4 linked regions of the Coturnix japonica genome follow. The main gene of each other region encodes a partner of the protein of the gene in region 4 in a complex. Links are inferred from orthologs where the notes say so. Each region holds a gene or a part of one and is shown on either strand. Other genes may lie near its edges. The genes, in order: CYFIP2, WASF2, ABI1 and NCKAP1.

Region 1 (5,841 bases), on a different chromosome or scaffold from region 4:
CTTGAGAGGAGGTCATGACAGAGCAGCAAAAGATTTTCAGGGCCAGATGGAATGACTCAGCTGGGTCTGGTTGGGGTGCATGGGTGGGTACCCCTCCTCCCAGCCCCAAGGCAGAGGACGGAGTAGCATGGAGCTGCAGGAGGCTGCACTGGTGCCATGGATGCTGGCATGAGAGCGAGTTTGTAGGAGTGCAGTTTGTGACACAGTGCTGAAGGGACAGGAACAGCCCATGCCCCTCCACGGGCATGATACTACCAGAGTGTGCATATTATCTTTGTGATTCTGTTTGCAAAGGACTCTTCCTGGATCAATATTGTTTCACTCCTCTTTCCCTCTGATAAAGAGAGTACTTTCTGCATTTGCAGGCTGCATACACCTGGCATCTCTTTCAAAATTTCTTTCTCCCCAAGGCCCATTACCTGAGAGTAAGAACTCTTAGAAATTTAATCCCAAGCAACATTTCATTCCTCATATTTAAACAATAAAAAGGGGGGCAAACTGGAGCAGACTTCTAATCTTCACTAGAGCAGCCTCTGCTGACAAATACCACTGGCCTTAGATTAGGCTGACAGCTATGAAGATAACTGTGCCATAAAAGTAATTGCTCCTTCTGCACAGAGAGGGAAAATCTTGTTATGCAGTGGCTCTAAGTATATGACAGCCTTCCAGCAAGCGAGAACCAGTGGCTGCTACGTGCAAAACTGCTTTATATTCTGAATCAATTTCTGTGTAGAACTGAGAACTGAGAACATGGAAGGTGGGCAGATGTGGACTTGGACAGGTAGTCTTTCTAGAAAGAATCCCAATGTCTCACTGTCTCCCTTATTTTCTGCTATTCTAGGATGTTATTATATTGCCAACGTACAGCTCTAGAGACAGGAGGAACATTTTTGCAGTCAAATGGGGATTTCTAACAGAAACCACCATGTGTCCCTTATGCATCCATTTAAAAGATGGGACATAAAAGGCAAATGCAGTACATCTAGCATAAAATTCAGCACAGAACAGCAGAGAGCAGTGACAAAGCCACAAAAGAAACATAAACTGCCAGGATACTGTCTGGTCATTCTGTTAGATAAAGCCAAGCTGCTAGGTGATATATATATCTCTGTTTGTTAAATCTTATGCAACTATTGCTTTTCAAATATGTTTGAAATACCACATTAGGAACTAGAAGCCTTTCTACTGGGGTTATTTGCAGAGATTTTCATTTTTCCCTGTGTTCTGTAGTTGAGTAAACTTGGAATCTTTGAACTTTCTTCTGGTTTTTACTCTGAACAAAATCTGATGGCTTTGCTTGGAAATCCCATGTGTGCTCAAGGAGGCTTTATGAAAAAACTTCTGAAAGATCTGACACAACTCTGTCTAAACTATAACATGGAACATGCATCTTAATGCAAAACTGGATTGTTTTTGCAACTCCTCAGTTGGCTGTAACGTGTTGCATTCAGCCATAGATAGCCTTTGCCCCATACCAGCCCACTTAGGTTAGAACTGGCATCACGTGAGCTAAGAGGCTGCGAGACTTGTGCATGCACAAGATGCTTGTGCAAGGGCTAATGTCATGTCATCACTCCAGCTAAGTTTTTGGTGAAGATTAAGTCATAGGAAATATAATCTCTTCTGAGATTTCCTTCCTTTCATATTGCTTTATCTTTACTGTCATTAGAACCAACCAGTTTTTCCATTGTACTACCACTCCAAAGAGAGCCAAGGGCTCAAATATACTCCTTACCGTATGGGTATTAGAAAAAGTAACAATCCCTGCCCCAAAGAGCTTACAATCTACAAATAAGCTCCAGTTGATTTTTATTTCTGAGATGGACAAACATGGGATAGCTTTGTGTCCAAGAATTAAATCTGGATCTTCCAGTATTCAGATTCTCCTTGAGCAATGCCAGATGTCAGTGACCCAGCACCAATGTATACCATCCCCACAGACCACAACAGCAGAGCCCTGGAGAGACCCTGGGTACATGATAAGCTGGAAAATTTCCCCAACTCTTCTGCTGGAGAACCCTTTTCCTCTCATACTCTTGAGCTGGAAATGTTAAGTGGAATCTGCTGGTGCAGGGTATGTTGCCTTACCAAAGCCTGCTCAATAAGGAGGCAGAAGAGAATTGCATTGCCCACTTCTCTGAGGCTCTGGAACACATCAGTCTTCAGCTCTGCGTATTCAACGATGTCCTTCAGCTGATGATGGAAAAACTCCAGGATTCCTTAAAAGACAAGGGAGGGCAGTCAGAAAAGTGAGAGCAAAAACATCCTTCAGTAGTGTGGATTAAAAGGCAGTCAGGGCCTGGTGTTTCCTTTATCATGAACTGCAAGGACTGCTGAGTGGATAGACAGGGATAGGCACTGAGCAGAACCAGCAGGCAGCGTGTCATCCTGCTTTCACTGACCCGTGAGAAATAGGGTGTAATTCCTGTGAAGTCTTTGGATTTCCCCATCGGAGAAAAAAAGAGATTCAAGGCTGCTATGGATGCCTTTGTGCTGGTTCATTTGTAACAGTCAGTTTTCACATCCAGCTGAGTTGCAGACTGCAGTCATACGGTAAAAAAAAATCTTTCCATCAAAGAAGTAGAGCTTTTTCAAAAGTAATAGTGAAGCCACTGTAACAAAAGCTTAAAAATCCTGAAAACAAAACCTAAACAACCAGCAGACATACCCTTATCCATCATCTGTCTGTTCAAAGTGAAATTTGTAACAGGAAAGTTGTGTCACAGGGAGGCCAGGCTGCATGGTGCACCAGCACAGTGGGTACCTGTCCTTGTTTAATTGAGTAAATGCTATGCTGATATTTGGATGAGCTCTTGCTCAAACCATGACACATCTCACTGTAGCACCCACCTGGAGAGCCATATTCGTGTCTTGGCAAGCGGCATATCTTGGGCATGACTTCTATCAGTGTCTTCACATACTGTAGGATGGTGCCTTGCAGCTGTCAGAGACAAAGAGGGGTTAAACTGGAAGGATGGCTTCTTCTGGCCTTGGTTTTAAATAGAACAGACTGTGGATGGACTTCTGTCTGACAACAAAGGGTGAAACTTTAGTTGGAGTCTAAGAAGAACTTGCTTCCTTTGGATTTCACCCAAACATAAAGTCCAGCCCAAGTGCAAGGAGTTTTGCAGCTTCCTCCTGAATAATAAATCATGGTTGCATGGATTTTCTACTTCAAAATATGGCTCATTGTGTTTGCATTATTTGCAGCTGAAATCCAAACAAGGCTTCATAGTAGATCCAGCTGGACTTGTGTTCCTAACCCAAAAAGCATTGGATTGGAGCTGCTAAACGAACCATTCCACCGCACAGGAAATGGTCTTCCCACCTGAGGAATGATTCTAGACACTGAGAGTTTAAAAAAATGTAAAATATATACACATGGAACAAGTTCCTGCACATTGGATGTTTTGAATTAATATGGGGAAAAGCATATTTCATAGTTAAAAATGCTCGCTGTCATTTGGAGTTATATAAATGCATCTTGTAGACATATTACATGGGATTATGTGATAAACATAATTTAGCCAAATGCAAGATCTCTGTCTTCTCACTGAATGCTGTCTGATCTCACACAACAGCTACAGTGCTTTCAGCTGAATGACACAAATTACATCTTCAATAGCTACAGTGCTTTACAGCAGAGAAGCTGGGTATGTGCTTAAGATTCAGGTCTGCACTGCTTTGCTAAATAAGTTCAAAGTTAAATCACTGCAGCCAAAACAGAATTTAAATATTTATAATGAATTGAAGTCTTCTCTTTGGTAAAATCGTTTTGGGTAGAAAAGCGTGACCTGAAAAATGATAAATTTTTGCTCTCTCCCTCCTGCCTTGTTAACGTTCTGTATTGTTGGTGCCTTTAGGGAGCACTTCCCTGTGGATATCACATCTCTCTTTTGAGAGCAGTACAAAGCAGATGGAGCGACTGGCTTCAGCGTATCTGATAGAAAGGGACGTATGGCTTGAATTCTTAAGAGCTCACATCTGACAGAAATTTCCTTGCAAACACTTTTTCATCAGTTTTGTGTCCTCCACCTTAGTAACAGCGAAACTAGACGATGAATATGAGTGTTGCAGTGTGGATAAAGGAGCACAGAGGTGCCTATATTTCAACAACCCAAACCAAAACCTGAAGGACAGGCTGACCCTCCAATTCATGTCTCTCAAAGCATCAAGATTTCTCTGCTGCCAGTATCAGCATTACTGGCTCAGAATTACCAGGCTCTTGACGATCTTCAGCAGCTCTTCCATGACCACGGCGATCCCCTGATAGCCAAGCAGCCTGCAGATTGTCTTGAAATGAGGTGGCCCCACAAAATTGCGATAGGAGCTATAGATGTGACTGTAGGCAATGTTGAGAGGCTGAGAAAATAGAAGCACAGTGACAGTTAGGCACATTTACAGAACTTGTAAGTAATTTTCTTATTGTACTACTGTGTTCCATCACTCGAAATCATTTTGAAGGAAAGCAGGAAAAATAATAATTCCTGTAAGAAATTTCTTACAATACTTCTTGAGGTACAAAAAGATTGCTCTTCTTTCTGTGCAGTCAAATGTATTCTACTCTGAGAAAATTGTCATGTCACAAGGTTTATTACCCTGCTCCATTGCCAACACCACTTTCATTTCCAAGATAATTTGCTCTCCTACATACTTTCAGTCAAGGATTTCAGTTCACTGGCCCTTAGCCTCTTCAAATCCAAGTTCTCCACCAAAACTGAAAGCTTTATACATGAATAACGGTAGAATTTTCCTATTGCTACCTGCTTCAAAAGAGGAACAGTAAGAAAAGTAGGAACTAAAGCATCTGAGCCTAAGACTGGTTGGAAGAGACACAGAAATGATCTTTTCTGCATCCTGTACAGCCCTACAGGTGCTTGAGATATTTACATGTGACTGAGCCCAAGGGGAAGAACCTGACCCTTGTCTAGGGAGCATACCTGGGGCTCTGGCCATTAGGAAATAGTTAGCAGCAGAAAACAGAAGGCAACTTCCAGGAACATATTTTGTCAATATAATGTTGGAAATATGGTAATTACTACAATTTTTTGGCACTAGAATGTTTTTTTATACTCATTTGGTGTAAGAAGAAGAGAAGAAGGGGAATTAATTCACTTGTGTGACTGGCAAAAGAAACCAAAAATCAAAAAGAAAACTGATTTTAGCTGAGAAACCGTATGCTCAGCTTGGCATCTACAAGTGAAGTGTTGGCACCATGACTCAGCCCCAGCAGAGAAGGGCTGCAGCCTCCCCAAGGAGATCTGTGACAACCACAGCTCTAGTACACAGCACTGAATCTTAGAAAGACTTTGGCACATTAGTGCCTCTTCCAGCAAAACACAGATGAAATCCCTGGCTCAGAATTGCTAAAAGATCTTAAACAAGACTAATGAAACAAGTTATGTCTAAATGGTGCTGAGCAAGGTGTGCTGCATCCTTCCACAGCAACCACAGACCCGGCTCTGCAGGGATTCCTTTCCATGCCAGCACCAGGGACGAACTCTGGCCAAGGCACCTGAGAGACCACCACACTGGAGAGCTTAAGATGAAAAGCAGCAAGCACTGAAGAGGCAGATGAGGACAAAATGGTGGATCCTCAGCCCCTGCTGCTCCTAGCATTTGCAATGCAGCCAGTTGTGTTCAAAGGCTTCACTCATCCTCTCCTTCTGACTCACTTCCACAAGCCTAACAAGTTAGGATGTGAAGTCACTTGCTAACAACCAGAATAGAATTGTTTTCTTTTGCTCTCAGATACAGAATTTCTTCTGACGGATGTACTGATAGTTCTCATGGATTTGACAGTTGCTTTAATCAGTGAATTAATTGTTTTGTTAGAGCCCT
Region 2 (5,841 bases), on a different chromosome or scaffold from region 4:
TATTGCAGAGCAGCACAGCGGGTGGCAGGACGGGCATTTTGAGCATCTGTGGGTGCAGCAGTGTTGGTGGATCTGGCACAGGAGCAGCACCAGCACCATTCCCTTCCACTCTGCTTCCTCACTCCCAGCTCGAGCTGCCTTCACTTTGATGCCTTGCTTTTCTTTCCCCCCTCCATATTCATTCCAAAGCTGTTGCAGACAGTCATGTTTCACTTGTACCACACTCTATGTCCTCCCTGCTTGCAGCAAGGTTGGGGAGGTGCTGTTTGCACCCCAAACATGACAACAAACCAGATCCTCAGCGTTAACGAGCGAATGGAAAGGCTCGTCTTTACCCCAAAGATAAGTGTTGCTTTATTATTATTAATTATTATTATTGGCCTCGCAGTTCATTCGACTCGCTCCTGAATGGTAGGATTTAGTTCTAATACCCAGTCTGCAGTGGTTACGTGACAGTGACTAATGCCTGCTGGCCACTCTGGCTGGCTGGGGTGGAAAACTGCTGTGCTGTCATGCCCTGACTACGGAAAGCAGAGCAGCTCTGGATGGCCCTTGCTGGTAGCGTGCTGTCACTCAGCTTCTTAATGACTCTTTTAAAGGAGAAAAGCAAGAACCTCCTGGCAGGCTGTTTTTCTGTCTGTCCCTTCCTTGTTCCTGTGTCCCTCCCCTGCCCCCAGCCGCACACCTCGTGCTGTCTCCTGCATTCAGCTTCCTCCTTCTCTCTCTGCTCTCAGACCTTCTCCCTTCTCCACGCTTTATTTCCTGCCCCTCCCGGCTGCTGCTTTCAAAACACGCCACTTCTTTTCCAATCCAAGACTATTAATCTTTGTCCCACCTACTCGTGAGGCATGAAGGTTTTACAGGAGCCCATTAGCTGTTATCTCTGCAGCTCCCCACCATGGATGGAGAAAAGGGATGTCCACCAGGGCAGTGCCTTCTTGTGGGGGCCCTGCTGTTATTACTGGTTCTGTGGGTCCCAGATTTCCTCTGTCTGTGCTGTAAATCTCAAAGACAAGGGGTCATGGAGTGTTGCTTTCAGTGCCTCTCATCCCATCACTGCTGCAGGAGCACAGGGCTGTCTGCCTGCTGCCACCCCATCCTTCCTGCCTCGCTCATCTCCATTGCTCTGCAGGGTTAATGCCTTCACGTCTCACTGCTGCTCCTGGCTGGGGTTAGGGGCAGCAGGGCCGGCCCTGTTGCCTTGGGAAGAAGCAGCGCTGCCGTGCTGTGCTGTCGGAGCCATCACAAAGGTGAAAGTCTTGATTCTGCAGTGGAGTGTGGCAGGCTGTGCTGGGAGGGAGGGGGTGGCTGCAAGGATGAGCCAGGCTATAAAGGGAGTGTTTTTTCTTAGCCCTTATCGCTGCTGGCTGTCTTGCACCGGTGCAGATTGGTGCCGGAGTTGTGCAGTGCAGTTGTAAAGAGGCGATTTGCACCGCTACTCATTGCCTTGAGTTGCAGAACAGGCTTAGAAGCCAAACCCTTTTGGGTAGGGAAAGGGTATAGACAAGGTATAGGTGTATTTCAGGCTGGTGTTTCTGCAGGGGTATCTGGGGGTGGTAGTCCATCTTTCTGCCCTCTTCTACATGCAGCAATGAGTGCTCCTCTCTGACCCAGCACACCTACCATCTTTAGTGGTTGTTCTTTGTGCTGGTGGTTTATTTTGCTTCCCTTTATTCCATATGCATCTCTCCCATCCAGCCCAGGCTTGGTGTCTGTCCCGGCTCTGCAGATCCCACCGAGCCCTGGGGAGCACGAGGGAGAAGCTGGATGCAGGCAGCCTGCAAATGCTGCCTTGTTTATGAGAGCTGCAGACTGCAGTCTGGGGGGAGCTGGGAAACTTTGTCTGGCTTGAAGCGCTAAAGCTGGCAAAAGATTGCAGGGCTTGGGCTGTAATCAATAAAACACGGGGTGTTTGGAAGCGAAGGTCAGAGTCCTTCCTTGGTTCACCCTGTTCTTTATATATCTCAGCAGTTACAGTGGCTGCTGCAGCGCTTGGACACGGCGAAGAGCAGCACAGACCTCAGTCCTTGGAGAAGCTCAGCTTTTATTTACCTGGCGTCAAACCCTGCTCCCTTCTGCTCCGAGGTTTATGGTTTGGGGCCCTGTCCCTGGTGCAGGGCTGTGTGCTCGCAGTGCCTGGCTCAAAATGGCATCCTCCATCTGCTGGGCCAGGAGATAGCCCAGCGCTGCAGCACTCCAACTCCTCTGCCTTAATGGGTCACATTTAGCAATTCAAAATCTGGCTCGTGAGGTAATTAGGAGGGATAATGCCCACTTCTTCCTCTTAACACCCTGATAGAAAAGCATCCAGGAAGGACTCCTGGACCTCAAAGATAAGCTGCCAGCTGCCACAGAGACTATCAAAGGGTGGCTCAAAGTCAAGAGCAAACAGCTGATTTTTTATGGTTCTTGCTTTTTTGCTGTTGGTGACAGGAAGCCATGTTCCCCAAGCTGTTAGCTTCCTGTTTTATTTTTACACCCAGCCCTTGCAGCTCAGCATGCCTATCACATGGGAGCTGGCTGCTTCTCTTGGGCTGCTCCTCAGCTGACCTAGAAAAGCGATTCTTTCCCCTTCTAAATTAATCACCGACTTGGGCTGGATTTGCTTTCCCTGAGTTTCGAAGGTTTCAGGCCTGTGCTCCGAGCTCTGCTTACCAACAGGGCATCATTACAGGGGCAGACACTACAAGAGGGATGTTCGTTGCTTGGACGCTTCGGCCTGTTGGCAAAGGAGAGTTTAGTCCCTTGGTAGGGCTGAGCAGCTGTAAAGCTCTTGGTCCTGCTTAGGGTTCCTTCACTTCGGGTTCCTTGATGGTTAAACTGCCCCAGCACAATAACAATGGCTCAGTGTAAACCTGAGCCCTGGGGCATTTCCTGAGGGTGCAGCCTGCAGGATGAGGAGCAGCCGGCACAAAGTTTCCTGGTCAGCTGCGAGCGCTTCCTGTTGTTCCAGCAGAGCCGCGTTGCAGGAGGAGCCGTGCTTTGTTCCCCCCCCAACCTCCTGCCCTCCACGAAGCAAAGCCATCCGTGTCCAGCTGAACGTGTTCCTGAAGGAGGGTTTTAAGGCTTGATGCTGTGTGTGAGCGGGGAAGGAAGGAGGCTGCGGATGGGTAGGAAGGGAATGGTGACGGCCATGCCGGCAGCACCTCATGTGTGGGTGAAGCTGGGTAGTTTTCCATGTCTGCCTCCATACCTGAGCTGGTGGGACTGTGCTGTCACCGAGTCACAGAACAGCGGGATCTTTATTTCTGAAGGACCAGTATTATAAGGTCGGGGAAGGGAGGGGGAAAGGAGGCTTATAAATAAAGCCATTTGAGAGCAGGAAAAACGAACACCACGGCTCTGGTGTGCCTGGAATTTGCGGTTGAGTAATCCTTTCCTGTTTCTTTTTTGGGTTGTTTTTCATCTTTCAGAACAGCGCCTGAAGCAGGTCCACCATGCCGTTAGTAACGAGGAACATTGAGCCAAGGCACCTGTGCCGTCAGACGTTGCCTAGCGTTCGAAGCGAGCTGGAATGCATGACCAACATCACCCTGGCAAATGTCATTCGACAGCTGGGCAGCCTGAGTGAGTACCATGGCGAGCCTGCGCGTTGCCCTCAGGAGTCGCTAGTGCTCTTTATTTAGCTCCCTTTCTACTCTTGTGTTCCTATTTCTCCCCCATCTGCCTTCCCCGGGTAATGCTAAAATGTTTTCCTAAAGAAATGCGATGCTAATTTCATATCCCTGGTCCCACCGCCTTCCCCAGCTAGAAGAAACTGGGGAGGGGGTGTGCGCATGTGTGTGCGTGCGTGTGTGCGAGGCTGCAGCAAAGCTGCAGATGGAAGGATGGAGCACAACTCAGCCTTGTAAAATGGGAGGCTCTCGGAGCAGCCAGGATCTTGTGTCAGAGAATGTGCCTCTAATTGCGTGCGCTACTAAATGGAGCTTGACTGTGCCGAAGCTATGGTGTGTAAGTAGTCTTCTTTTTAATGAAGGATAATTAAAGCGCCCGTGCAGAAGCAGCCTGTTGGCCCCTGCTGTGTGCTACCTTGGAAGACCCAAAGTCCCCAAGCATTGCCTTTGGAGCACAGGGGGCTCAGGGCTGCTCGCACAGACGGCAGCACCGAGCTCAGCTCTCCGGTGAGCTGCCCCATAGCCTGGGAAAGGCTATAGGGAAAACATGGGCCTGCATGGCATGGGAGGAGAGAAGAGTTAATGGTGGTCTCTGTGGGATGGCTCCGTCCTCTCTTGAAATGCTCTGGCTTCTGATTAGCCGCCTCTGCCCTTGAAGCGAGACTATGAGAATCCAACTCATATTGTTGAGCTTATTGGTGGTGTCTGCGAGCACTTGTGCTTGCTCTGCAATGTAAGGCCCTTGCCTCGTGTGGCAGGAAAGCCTCAGCTACAGCCTCTTTCCAGCAGTGAAAGCCATGGCTGCAACTGAAATCGGGGCCTGTGATGGCTGCCAGTCGGTGTCACGTTCTGTTTTGGGCTGTGGAAATGTCACTGCACGGGCAGGACCCGTCCATCCGCTCACATCCCACTGACCCCTGTTGGTCGTTTGGTGGCTCTGGTAGCCAAGATGGTTGTGGAATGCGAGGAGAATCCATCTCGTGCATGTGAAATGAGGAGGAAGGAGGCAGTAAAGCTGTGCAGATCTCAGCTGCAGAGAAAGCTAATCCCAGTCCAAAGGCATGCAGCGGGTTAGTGTGACAGAGCCCTGGTGAGATCCTGCAGATTTAGGCCGTCTTTGCAAAGCTCAGATATTCAAAGCTTCTCCATGGCTGCCTCAGCTGGACACAGTGAAGCACTGGGAGCCACATTGCAGCCAGGCTCCTTTGCTAGGAAGGTGCCCTGTGATATCTGCGTGGTGCAGGGAGGGAGCTGCATGCAGCCAGGTACCTGGAGGAGAGCAGGGCATGTGGGGGGATAATGAGCACCATCCCTTATCCGCATCCCTGTGGTCAGCGGTGCTTTAAATGAAGCTATTTAGACTCGGTGCTGCACAGCACTCGCAGCCAGCTGACCAAAGTCCTGCCCCCCTCCTTTACCTCTCTTACTTTGGAGGAAGAAATCCACTCCTCCTTCGTACGCTGAGCGTTGAGGGAATGCGAAGCAGGTTCAGTAGGCTGTGACAGCTCTGTCAAGTGAATAATCAGCCATGCCTGCTGCACCACAGTCTCTTTACAAAGATGCAAACATAAATCTTGTCAAACTTTCATATTCCAGTGAGTTTACCCTTCGTTACTATCACAGCTGGTAGCGCTCTGTATAAGCCGGCTGTGCAGTGCTATGGAATGCACGAGCTAAAGATGGAGAGACCTATTGAATCACACCGCCTGTCTTCCTGCCAGTGCGTGACAGAGATCATTCTGATTGTGAGTTGCACTTTTGCAACAGTCAAAGTAATGAGACCAAAAATGAATCTCTGCCTTTCCCCATCTAAAACTGCACGTGGAGCACTGAAGCGTATGCCAGATCCTGAATGGTAACTCAGGACTGATGCACTTAGACAGGTGAGGGAACACCAACCATCCCTGCTGCTTACGGGGCTAAGGACACCACGTGCAGTGCTCTTTGTGCTTGAAACATGCAGCTCAGCACCACAAACTTGGTATCTTCCCTTCTACTTGTTGCAGTTCCTGGTGAGATTTGGAACTGATTCTCGGTTCTCATTAACACAGAACCAAATTACAGCTCTGTGGGCTGTTGCTGGGAGGGGCAACAAATGATCACGTAGGTAAGTGTTCACTTCCTTTGGTCAAACAGGAGAGCTGGTGCTGATGGTGAGCACAGAGTGCTTGGTGAAACGTGGCTGCAGTGAGTGCAATCCAGCCCTTGGGTCTCCATGGCTGCAGTC
Region 3 (5,841 bases), on a different chromosome or scaffold from region 4:
CCAATCATATTTGCTAGCTGTGCTTTTATATTCATGGAATTTGCACTTCTAATAGACCAGAATCACCAGTGCAGGCCATCAGAAAGATATGTCACTCATTCTTCAAGATGGATACCCATTTTTACCTTCCCCATGCTTGCTGCACAAAAGCCAAGGTTAATAAAACAATTTCAGTTCTTTTTTGGTATTAACCTCTGACAGATAAATGAAAGCATCAAGCCTTGCAAACTAATGAATCTCAAACGTTGAGGTCACATGGATCAATGCACAACTGCAATTTTTGAATGCAAAAATTGTTTCGCAATAAAATGTTCTGTACTTTTAAATACATACGTATATATCTTATACAGACAGATAAAAATATATACAAAACGCACACACATGGCACAGTGTGTGGTCAGAAGTTTGCAGTCCTGTAGTGCCATCCAAAGTCACTTTCTCTTAACACTTCAGTAAGAGAAAGTGCAAAGGGTTACGTGGGTCAAAGCCTCCAAAGCTGATTTCATAACAAGATCTATGAATTTTGACATCAGTCTGTGATAGGAAAGGGAGAGTTCTACATGGTTTTACACTTATTGCTTTTAAATCCCTTCCTAACAGCAACATGTAATGTTTGAAGCATTTTTTCAAGAACTGTCAGCTTGTATCATAAAGTCTTTCAGTTTGGTATCTGCCTGCAGCATTACAGGATCAAACCCAAGCCACTGTGACAGACACTTCTGCTTTTCAGTCACCTTCTTCCCACAGGATAGGATACATACATCACCCTACACATCAGCTACCATTTTTAAGTGAGAGTGCAACCATAGCAGCTTAGTTTCAATTGCAAGAGTGATACAGCAGAATGGCAATGTTCCAGCTCATTTTGAGTTCTTTCAGATCAGACAGATTGGACCTTAGCTTTGCTGGGAATAGAGACTTCAAACAGCTAGCAGCTTTTTCCCCATACCTTGTACATTTACCTTCAGAGGCTTTAACCACAGGAAATTAGTGGAGATTAGATTTGTTTAAAGAAAAAAAAAAATCACGTCAGAACTGATTTTTGTGTTAAAATCATGTAGACCCCAGTACAGATGAAAAAACAGCTTCACTAAGTCCATTAGGAAGAGATGATTATTGATTATGCAGCATGACTGCAATCACTTCAGCATTGATACAAGTCTCACCTATCAGACTGCCCATCGGGAGAGGTGGTGGCAGTGGTGGTGCTGGCGGGGCTCCAGGAGGAGGAGGAACAGAAATGTGTGCTAAAATAGTTTATATTCCCAATTAGGCCACATACTTAAAAAGCAGGTAAGAAAGCAAGGGAACTTGATAGGCTTCCCAAATAAATATAAAAATTCAACTTGAGTAAACTGATAACAAGCTCAGGCCCTGATCCTACAAAGGGTTCTGTATCTGCAGGTTTTATTCCCATTTATTTCAATGGGATGACAGATGATAGTAAAATATATGCCTACTCGGACCAGTGCAGGATCAGAAACATCTGGGAAAGAGAAAGGAAAACCTACACATGTGTAAGAAAGTGAACCAAGGAACAAATTCAACAGGTGCAATAGAAAAATACATTGCACCAAAATTTCACTACTTTCTTGGGAAAGTTAACACAAATCTGTTACAAAAGTCACAAACAGTAAACAAGTGACAGACATGGTTGGTTTGTCACCAAGACAATCCTGCTATGTAACAATAATTATAAAAAAAGGATTCTACACATTCCCACTAGTCGTCATTCATAAAGACAACAAATTATGCTTTAGACACTGAGAGATCCTGCATGGCTCTGTTTCACTGCTGTGCTATACACACCAGTTCTCCCACTTCTCTCAGTGGTCTCTCTCACAGCTTAGCAATTTCAGACTGTACCAGAATAAATGGCACCAGTTGACAAGTCTGAATTCTACTACTGGTAATTTTCTGTAGGTCATCTTCTGTATTTCATTTGAGCTAAAAACCTCTATTTACTTGTACAGACATAAGTGACTGTCGTTACAGCCTTAAGTTAGCATGGGAAGAGTCCCTCCTACCTGGTCCAATGGTTGGCGGTGAAGGTGTAGGCACGGCAATGGGAATGCCAATACTGCTGCTGCCGCTATTCTCTCGACTGCCACTTCCTCCACTACTACCACTATAAGAGAAGAACGGAAAAACACAAGTATTAGCACACATTTCCTACAAAAGCCTGTGTTGATAGCCACGCTTTTTGTGTGAACTCTTCTGGTCTAACTCAATTACAGACCATAAAAAAATCCACCATAAAACGCCCTTGTCTCTACCTACAATCTCAAATAGCTAATCAACTATGCAGGAAGCATTACACTCCTAATAAATGGAATTAGCTAAGCTGATGAACACAACTATGCATAAAATGTCCAATTATATGACTTCAAAAACAAAAAGGTAAGCAACCATACCAGTTTTAGGCAATGGAGTAACAACTACAGGAATAGCTCAAGAGCCTCGTATTAATTAGAAGCAATAAGCTGGAAGAGTTCATGCCTAAACTACAAATAACTATTTAAAATTAATTATGCTGAAGGAACCTTTTCTCTGCTTAGAACAGAGGCTTAGAATAAGAAGTTTTTCACTAAGAACAACTGCAATTATCCAAGCTGGGCAGGAGAAGGGAAGGAATAATTATCTGTATAGCCAATATGCCTCTTCACACACACATGCACACAATTTGTGTATGAGAAGTTTGTTTCTAAGATAGTCTATAAGATAACAGAACATCCAGGTGGCAGTTTGTCTCAGTACTGTTAATATGTCCTAGGCCAGCAATACAGATTTTTACAGAGCACGCTTTTAGTGATCTACTGCAGAGACCAAAACATCTCTTTTCACTGAGGAATGAAAAAGGAATCAAAGTTCAGACAACATCTGTCCTTATTCTTACCCAAGAACATTCCTTAGGCCAAGGCTTGAATTTACACGGATTAAATGGATAATATAAAGGGAACTAAGCAGTCAAGATGCCTTGAAGCCAAAACACTTTCACCCATTCATGTTAATGAAGAAGTACCCGGTGATTTTACAGTTTATTTACTGTTCCTGGTTAGCTACCAATCATTCAAACATTTCTTAAGAAAATAATAGTGTCACAAAAAGAGAATCTGTGATCTGAAATCGAAGGCAAGATAATTCCTTCAAAATTAGTGTGCTGTTGCTGAAGACCTTGATCTTGTCACCATGGTTGCAGCTGACTTCGTAACTGCAGTCTACACAAAATACAGACCATGTGAGACAAGTATAGAGAGCACTCACTGGAGCCAGCTAAACAGATTAACAAGATCTTCACTGCATCCAGATTTAGATACTATTTAATTCTAATGGTATTTCATGAACAACATGTCCAAAATACCCTCAATCCCTAATTAGTGACCAATTGTGTTTAATTGTCTACAGGGTGTTAAAAAAAAATAATAAGGAAGCAGCTCTCTGAAAAATAAACTACCAATTTATTTTTAGCTACACTGAACTCTTTTGTCTGCTTTTTCTTCCTGCAGTTTTGAAAGTTCTGATACCGTCAAACTGAGGAAACCAAACTCACTCATGAGGCTCAAAGAAAAATCTAGCCTTGCAGTTTGAGAATAAATTTACATGATAAAAAAAAAAGAACAAAGTACACACAGATACCTTTTGCACCTAAGGACACACTACTCTTTCATCAAAATCCTCCAGCATGTGGAAACAATTGGCTAATGCCAATACCTGCTTTGTGAGTAAGCTTTACATTCCGCTTCTATCAAGCAAGCATTAAGTTTCAGTCAAAAGAAAGCAACTGGCTCTTTCAGACTACCTTCATCACAGTGTTTAATCAACAGAATTTCCCCTTTGCAAATAGTGGACTTGAAAACAACAACAAAAAAACTATTCTATAAAACTGCATTTTAGGCTAAGGTTAGCAAGGCAGCTTTCAACCCAGTAGGACTCATCACTACTTGACTTCTCATCTGCATAAATTTTGAAGTTTTGCTTATTTTGGGGAAAAAAGTACCACAGAACAAAACAAATGGAGTCTGTGCTGCCAATAGCACTAAGCTTCAAAGCTTTTCTGTGATTTTCAGAAAGCAGCAGTGTGCCAGGCAGGAAGGAGTGTGAGTGAGAAAAAACACTCTACCTGTGTGTTCTTGGTCTCTGGTTCAAGGAAGCTGTTCTCCCTGGGCTGTGCTGGCTGCCCAGTCTGGCAGGACTGGTCATGTAATCATTAGGGACCGTTGGCGGTTTGACTGGCTCCAGGGTTTTGTAAGGAGTATTTCGCCTGGTCAGGAGAAAAAGATTTGAAGACAGAAGGATAAACAATCAGTAGATCAAAAGGATAACTGCATAAAGTAGCGAAGCCACTTGTTTTCTTCTGTTTTCACATGAGACCACAGTGACCCACAGTAGAGTATAGTAAACAAATTCCACCAGTGAGAGGTGGGAAAATCACCTTCAACTCTCCAAAGCGGAAAAAGCGTTACAAGCTGGCCTACAGCACAAACTGATTAAAAAAGTCTAAGTTAAATACATCACCAAAAACACATGCTTTGAACTACATACTATGCAGCAGTTACACCTGTACCATATCCCAGGGTTATCTTGCTCTCACTGCATGTGAGCAATTCTTTCCCTTTTAACAATGTCCTCTTTCTCCCCCTCTCCTCCAAATGCTCAACCATCCTAAAAGCATTCTTGGCTGAAGGTATTCAACTCATTAAGACAGGAGTAAGTCCAAACTATTCACAGAACAAGTTACATTTGCAATCATCAGCGCTCTTCCTAGCAGCACTGTTTTATGCTGTAATCAAGCATATCACTTAAGCAGATCTTTAAGTACTTCACAGATCAGCTTCATTGTCTCCATTCTACAGACACAGAAAATGAAGCTCAGAGACTTCCAAGGTCATTGAGCAGACTGCATCAACTCAGAAATGCAGCACGGATCTTTTGAGATCTATTTACCCACCCCATTTCTGCCTTCAGAACAGTGTGTGTATTGTACTGAGCTGCAGAGCTCTTCATTTCTCACCAGTTACCAAGAGATCCCTTGCAAGACACGGAACTTGGCAACACACCAGCTAAGCAAAAACAAAAATAGTAAACTACTGGCATTTAATCACTTGTTCCATTGCTGGTTATAACCAAGCTGTTAAGTTATATGGCTTCAAAGTATTTTAAGAAATGTATCGACTTCTTTTTAACAATGTAGAATGCAAATGTGCTTAATTTTAACTAAAAACTTAACTATTAAAAACTCTCTTGAGGAGAAAAATGGAAATAACGTGTTTGTATGAATGATGGTGTTTGTAAATTAGTTTGTCTATATAAAGAACTGCAGGTGACTCTGATGTGCAGACTGCCACCACCTGTAGACTCATCAGAAGAGATCAGTCCTGGGAAAAATAAAGTGACTTTGTATTCCAGTTATAAGAGATAGAGCTCTAAATACCGCCAAGTGAAATAATAAGCACAGAAGGTTTAAAATGTGCTTCCAACAGAAATAACCTTGAACACTAACATTTTCAAGTATTCTATCTTGGAATGCACTGGCAATAAGAAATGCAGCCCCTTGGCTCAATAGCGCTATTTATTTTGCCCATCCAATCTCAATATCCTATCAAAAGCAAATCCTGCTACATCCTCAGGCTCATCTGAACTCCGTTTTCTCCTTGTTCTCCTTAACTTCATTGAAGGACTCAAACTCCAAAGCACAGAGAATTAAAAAATAATTCCTTTGTGCCACGCAAGTCCAACCCATCCCTCTGTTTTTCTGCCTATCTTGCATGGCAGGAGAGAGCAACCCTTCCCTGACACAGCAGTGCCAACACCCAGTGCCTACTGCCACAGGGGAACTAAAAG
Region 4 (5,841 bases):
AAGTTACTGAGGTCAGGGGAAAAGAGGTGAAAAGGAAATAGAGCCATAACAGTTCACAAAGTCAAACTACCTAGAAAGCCACAAAGGGGAATTAAAGGAGACCAAAAAACATTCACCTGATCACTCAGCGTACACTGTTCTGTGCAAATGTCTGTGATAAGATTTCGAGCCTGCTTAGCCATTTCATCCAGGAACATGTTACATAAGGAAAGACTACGATCTCCAATGTGATGCCTCTGTTAAAAAAAACAGAATAGAAGTTTGTTGTCTCTTTCCTCTAAGTTCCACACTGCTTGAAACATAAACACATTGTTCTGCAGCTCATTCACATCCACAACTGGAGTGACAATCAGCACGTTACTGAGTCCTTAACAACCTCAGCTCCCAACTTACTATTCAACTTCTCAAACTATGAGTTTATAAACTATGAAAGAAAAAACACAGCTTAGAAATTCTAGCAGGCATACAACACATATCTGCACCCAAATCTGAGTGACCTGGAAATGTCATTTCACCTTTGTACCTGAACTCAACCTCTTTTTAAAGCTAAGAGGATCATACTTCAGGAAACAATCCCAAGCACAGTCAAGTGCTGAACTTGTCCTTTTTCATCACTCTCCTTCCTCTAATCCTATGCTGCTACAAATACTTTGCAGCCCTGAGCACCAGTACTTTCTATTTTTAAGCCAGAGCTGACAGTATCCAAGACATTGTATAAAAAAATTACCTCTTCTGGGCACAGTTCGTGGGTGCAGCTCATAAAATGAGTACAAAGGAGTGGGAATGCAATCGAGTATCTTGATTGAGAGGGAAGCTCCAAACACTGCTGAAACATCTTCTCAAAAGCACGACTATAAAAACTGATCAGAAATAGACAATTTAATGCAATACATGCGTAATTCTGCCGCAAATAAAGTCTACTTACACAAATCAAACGCACTGCTAATGCCAGGTATGTCATTATAACATACGTGATAACAGAAAGCGCATCATGCTTTTGAAGACATTCACTTCTTACCCATTTTGTTTGCATCTCTTGTTATGATACCAATTTTATTCTGATGTTTGACACATGGGCACCACAAGGATTTGCAGCTTTTGCTAGAATTCGTTACATAAGAACTCATAAATGACCCCTGATCAGTTATGTGAGTGTCTGAACAACCTCTGACAGACCTTCAGAAATAACTCCAAACTAACTCAGGCAAACACTACGACAGCACGTATTCCACAGCTGCTACTTTTTAAGTCAGCTTCAGAAAAAAATAACATACAAAAAGAGAAAAAGTACATGAATCTTCTTTCAACAAAAACATGACAACCATATGAAAACAACTTTCACCAATAACTCTAGCCCTGATTAGTTTGCGTTTTCTCCATCTCAAACTGAAAAAGAACCACCTAAAGTACTACTGAGAAAGCTTCTCCAAGGACAGTATTTTCACACTGGGACTCACAATGATTTATTTCTACTGCAGATAGTGTTTAATTATTTGACCTTAAGCAGTCAGAGAAAGATTCCCATCTGTCTGCTTCCTGATCCTTACTCTTTTCCTTTTTCCAAACTCAGAAAAAGAAGAAAAAAAGCCAAACACACAAAAAAAAAGCTAACTATGAAAAACCATTACAGAAGTGACAACGCAAGGCTGGCTCTTCCTGCTTGGGAGCAGAAGAAGAAGGGAATCAACTGCTTTTTCTTTTCCAGAACAGGAAAGTTCATGGATGAACAATGTACAGTCCCCTATTGAAGCTCATCAGGCTACACTACATACGCCAATGAGCAATTCTGTGGACTGATGCTGTTCTTTGAAACCAAAGGCAGACAAACTTGGTGTTAAGGTTAGTACAAAATAAAGTACAAATCAATAAACCCCAAACTCTAGAACACCAACCATCTCAGAAATAACAACTAACCAGAACTTCATCCGAGTCTCCCACTGAAGTATCCTATGAAGCTTATTAATTAAAAGTTAAACTTGCAAGGATAAAAATCCAACAGTAATTAACAAAAATATGAGCTCAGCTTTGTAACTTACCAGAATATAGAAAGATCTGAGGTCTCAACCAACATCTCCACCAAAGAATCTACCATTTTTGTGTGGAAAATGATTGTGTTCATCATTTTGCCTAGCTCCCTGTGGTCTGCCAGTCCAAGAGAAGCTTTAGAGACACTGGTGTAGGCCTGGACAGAAACAAGAAGGCAAAAAAAGCAGCAGGTTTATTTTCTAGTTTCATTGCTATTGCCCAACACGGAGGTTAAGCACTGATTACGCTATGCAGAGAACAAGTGTATGTAACAACTTCACACAGCCCATTTTAACATTCTACTGTACTTTAAGGAAAGCAAACCACCTTCCAGCAAAGTCTCCAGATGTCTTGAGTATGACAGCAAGGCACAGATGAAGAGAGGCAGGAAAACACTGACAAAACACTTATGCACACTAGTGGAATCAAGTTTAGAGAACCGGCCCCTCTACTTTGTAATATTCATGCTCTGGTACACAAGAGGAAAAAAAGTGTATTTTTCAAATATGAGAAAATACCATGTCTATCTAATATTGATATTGCCAAAACATTTCTCACCCTTTTAATGTGTGAACTGGAGACAGAGTAACCCCAACACAAGTGATCTCACTGAACATTCTCTTGCCGAGCAGCCTCTACCTTTCCTTAGCTGGGCAGGCTGAATCATATTCTGCACAGCACACAGCTGCCAACAGCCCCCTCCTCCACAACACATTCCATTTCCAAATGGTTATAATTCTCCAAAGAATTATTTGCAAAAAATAGGCAGCAATGCAAAGGTAAAAACGAAGTTACACCAGAGAGCAGAAAATTGTCCTGTGAGTTTCTTTGAGTTTTAATTGCGAAGAATATCCTTATACAGCCTGTCACCTACTTGCATTAACAGTACGAGAATAATATCTTGAAACCAAAATGGGATTTGTTAAATTCCATGCAGACATACAAAGTCTTACCTGCAATCTAAACCAATCTAATCTCATTCCTCTGAAGTCAAATACCTCTCCATCTTCAACTGAAATAAAAACAAAAGCAAAATACCAAACGTAAACACTCAAGGAAGGTAACAACAGCAATTCAAAAACACTAAAATTACTTGGGTTTTGAACCTCTTTTACCTGATAACTTCAATCCAGCACAACCATGCTAACAGGAACTGAAATATTTAAATATGGATACATATAATATCCTCTCTAAATTAAAGCTAGCGTTCTTCAAATAGTTTTTTTAGAAGCCTTAAGTAACAGAAAAAGGACACAGAGCGAGAAGCAGATACCATAAAGGAAAAGAAACAAGGAAATCAGTTGAGTTTATGCCATTTATCTGCTACTTCTGATTGCACATAACAGAAAGCCATGAAGCCTTCCAGAGGAACATTTGATTTGGTTCCCATTTTCCCCCACACTCATAGGAATAGACTCACCTTGCTTCACGCTTAGCGAAGTCATAGTGTTTACAAAGGAGGACATGATGATGGACTCATCCTCTGGGCACACTGAAAGATTCTGAAATAATTGTTGTTACTATTATTATTATTTCAAATCTCATTTATAAAAGACTGTCAAAATTTATGACAAATTACCATCAGTCATCTGATAGTATGTTCTACATACTTTACAGAAGGTAACTTAATCAACAGAGTTTCAAATAGTGAGAATTAACAAGTTCTATTTTCCAGTTCATTGGTTAATGACTCTACCCACAAAAGGTTGCTTCCAAACAACTTGGCCACAGAAGACAAAAATCTGTCAGTAGCCATTCCCACACATTTTCAGGCTGTTGTCATTTACAAAATGGACAGGGACCATATTTATGCTATACTAGAGACACCAAACATTTTTCAGACTTCTATAGGCACCTGAAATTCAGCTGGGCTCAGAAAATTCAGCAGAGCCCAGCTCAGAATCACTAGGCTTCCCACAGGACCATCCATCAACAGATTTCTACTAACATCGACTTGAGTGACTTAAAGCACCCTAAAGACAGTCTGCCATGTTTAGAAATCCTTCAAATTTAGAATCTCCTTTAGAAAGGAGAAATTTACAAAGAAGCAGTTTCAGTGATTGTTAAGATCTTATTTATGTTGAATTTAAGGCTCATATAAAAGTAAAACCAAGGATCCAGTTACATTTCACATTTTAGACTACAGTAATATAAACTAATAAATCAACTGTTTCAATTGCATGTTAAAATGAACAGCAGAGGAGATAAGCTCCCCCTTCTGGTCACTGATGTACTACCTCACATATCAAAGTTCCTTCTGTAAACAGCAAAATAGCTTCATACTCAATAGAAGCTTCTCCAGTTTGAGTAGCTCCTGTGTTCACTACATTTGGGCGCCACCTCGTGGCCGCTCAGAAACGTCATCAAAGCAGCTCAGAAATCCTGCTAGTAATTTACCAGCTAAGTGACACTACATCAACTCCCGGGCAGCTCAGAAGCTCCACAGTGTATATTCACTTGCAGCGATGAGAACAGTAGACCACAGTAAAAAAGTCTCCGGTGACACCTACAAATACCTGACTTCGTATTTAGGTTATTTAAACACATGAAGCTACCTCAGCTGACCATTACTTTTTTGCTTTGAGCAAACAGTGATGCAGACTGGTATCTCTTTACTGGAATGATACAGCACTGATCTCAAATACTTCAATCACTTCTTCAATACACTGACGCTGAACAAGAGAAGCCATCCATTTATTGAATATATTACAAAAGAATACCAAGGGATTCTTGTTGCTCCCTGTTTCACTTGCCACCACTTGGTAAATGACACAGGCCCTATATTCTCCACTGCGTCAGACAGCAGAAGCATTGAACAGAATTAAGGGTGTTACTTAGAGTTTATTTAACCCTAGAGTTAAGCAGTAAGCTCAGATACTTGGCCTTATCCCATGACATTTATCAAAAATCCACAAAACCAAATAGAGATTCATGAAGACATTTTGGACCAAACAAAAAACAGAACCCAAACCATGGTCTTGCCATACCTGAACAAGCTCGTTTAAGACCACCGCATCAAAGCCAGAGAGATACTGTACATAGTACCTCTGCATCACGGGCCCGTACTTGCGCACGTGTGCTCTGAGCTCCTCCATGTAGAATATCAGCTCAGCTATGTGCCTGTGCAGGAAGGCAAGGGAAGGCTTACAAACACAAAGTATAAACAATATTAAATGCTCCTATCAGTGCAATGCTTCCCATGGGGATTGCCTCCTAAACCTTGCTTTAAAAACTATTACTTACAGGTAATTTTTGTATTCAGCATCATCTCACATTATATAATGTTTTCATAGAAATTTTCTCTGTAAGGTAAAACCCACTCACTTGTAAATATATCAACAGGATCCCCCTCACAGTAATACTCAAAAGGTCCCTGTAACTACCCATTCCTTTCTGAAGAAGCCCTTTTGTAATGGCCAATTAAAAAAAGCTAAAGCAGTTAAAACTGAAGATCAGAGCTGTAATAATTGCTGATTTCAGCTCAAGTCAGAAGATCTTTATTCTAAAAACCCATAACTTCACAAGAGGTTAAGGTGCCCTCCTCTGCTGAAAGCACTGCACAGAAGATAATGCTCATCACTCCTTGTGTAGTCATTAATAAACTAAAGTAGTTAACACTGGGCAATATTCTATAAGCAACACTACCAAAGCTGAAAATGAAAGCTTAAAACGCTCTCCCAATTATTAGACTGATGGTTTCTTAGACTAAACCCAGTACTCTGTGAGAAACAATCAGACAAGTGGATATGCTGTCAGACTTTATTCCCAAGATCAAACTTCTGTGCTCCCTTATCTCAAAAACTCTGCATGAACAAC

Evidence for each region.
Region 1: NCKAP1 (region 4) and CYFIP2 share a complex: the UniProt entries of both Homo sapiens proteins name them as parts of the WAVE1 complex. The link is inferred for Coturnix japonica from reciprocal best matches to the Homo sapiens genes NCKAP1 and CYFIP2.
Region 2: NCKAP1 (region 4) and WASF2 share a complex: the UniProt entries of both Homo sapiens proteins name them as parts of the WAVE2 complex. The link is inferred for Coturnix japonica from reciprocal best matches to the Homo sapiens genes NCKAP1 and WASF2.
Region 3: NCKAP1 (region 4) and ABI1 share a complex: the UniProt entries of both Homo sapiens proteins name them as parts of the WAVE2 complex. The link is inferred for Coturnix japonica from reciprocal best matches to the Homo sapiens genes NCKAP1 and ABI1.

What each region holds. Positions count from the first base shown.
Region 1 is NC_029528.1:13,087,984-13,093,824, forward strand, and holds part of CYFIP2 (cytoplasmic FMR1-interacting protein 2), read right to left. Parts: intron 4,363-5,841; coding exon 4,219-4,362; intron 2,942-4,218; coding exon 2,851-2,941; intron 2,220-2,850; coding exon 2,089-2,219; intron 1-2,088. UniProt on the Homo sapiens protein: Involved in T-cell adhesion and p53/TP53-dependent induction of apoptosis. Does not bind RNA. As component of the WAVE1 complex, required for BDNF-NTRK2 endocytic trafficking and signaling from early endosomes.
Region 2 is NC_029538.1:1,778,473-1,784,313, reverse strand, and holds part of WASF2 (wiskott-Aldrich syndrome protein family member 2), read left to right. Parts: intron 1-3,142; exon of another isoform or gene 3,143-3,269; intron 3,270-3,413; 5' UTR 3,414-3,437; coding exon 3,438-3,567; intron 3,568-5,841. UniProt on the Homo sapiens protein: Downstream effector molecule involved in the transmission of signals from tyrosine kinase receptors and small GTPases to the actin cytoskeleton. Promotes formation of actin filaments. Part of the WAVE complex that regulates lamellipodia formation.
Region 3 is NC_029517.1:14,549,232-14,555,072, reverse strand, and holds part of ABI1 (abl interactor 1), read right to left. Parts: intron 4,262-5,841; coding exon 4,121-4,261; intron 2,129-4,120; coding exon 2,028-2,128; intron 1,248-2,027; coding exon 1,167-1,247; intron 1-1,166. UniProt on the Homo sapiens protein: May act in negative regulation of cell growth and transformation by interacting with nonreceptor tyrosine kinases ABL1 and/or ABL2. May play a role in regulation of EGF-induced Erk pathway activation. Involved in cytoskeletal reorganization and EGFR signaling.
Region 4 is NC_029522.1:6,233,536-6,239,376, reverse strand, and holds part of NCKAP1 (nck-associated protein 1), read right to left. Parts: intron 5,146-5,841; coding exon 5,013-5,145; intron 3,528-5,012; coding exon 3,446-3,527; intron 3,038-3,445; coding exon 2,979-3,037; intron 2,183-2,978; coding exon 2,037-2,182; intron 861-2,036; coding exon 728-860; intron 237-727; coding exon 117-236; intron 1-116. UniProt on the Homo sapiens protein: Part of the WAVE complex that regulates lamellipodia formation. The WAVE complex regulates actin filament reorganization via its interaction with the Arp2/3 complex. Actin remodeling activity is regulated by RAC1.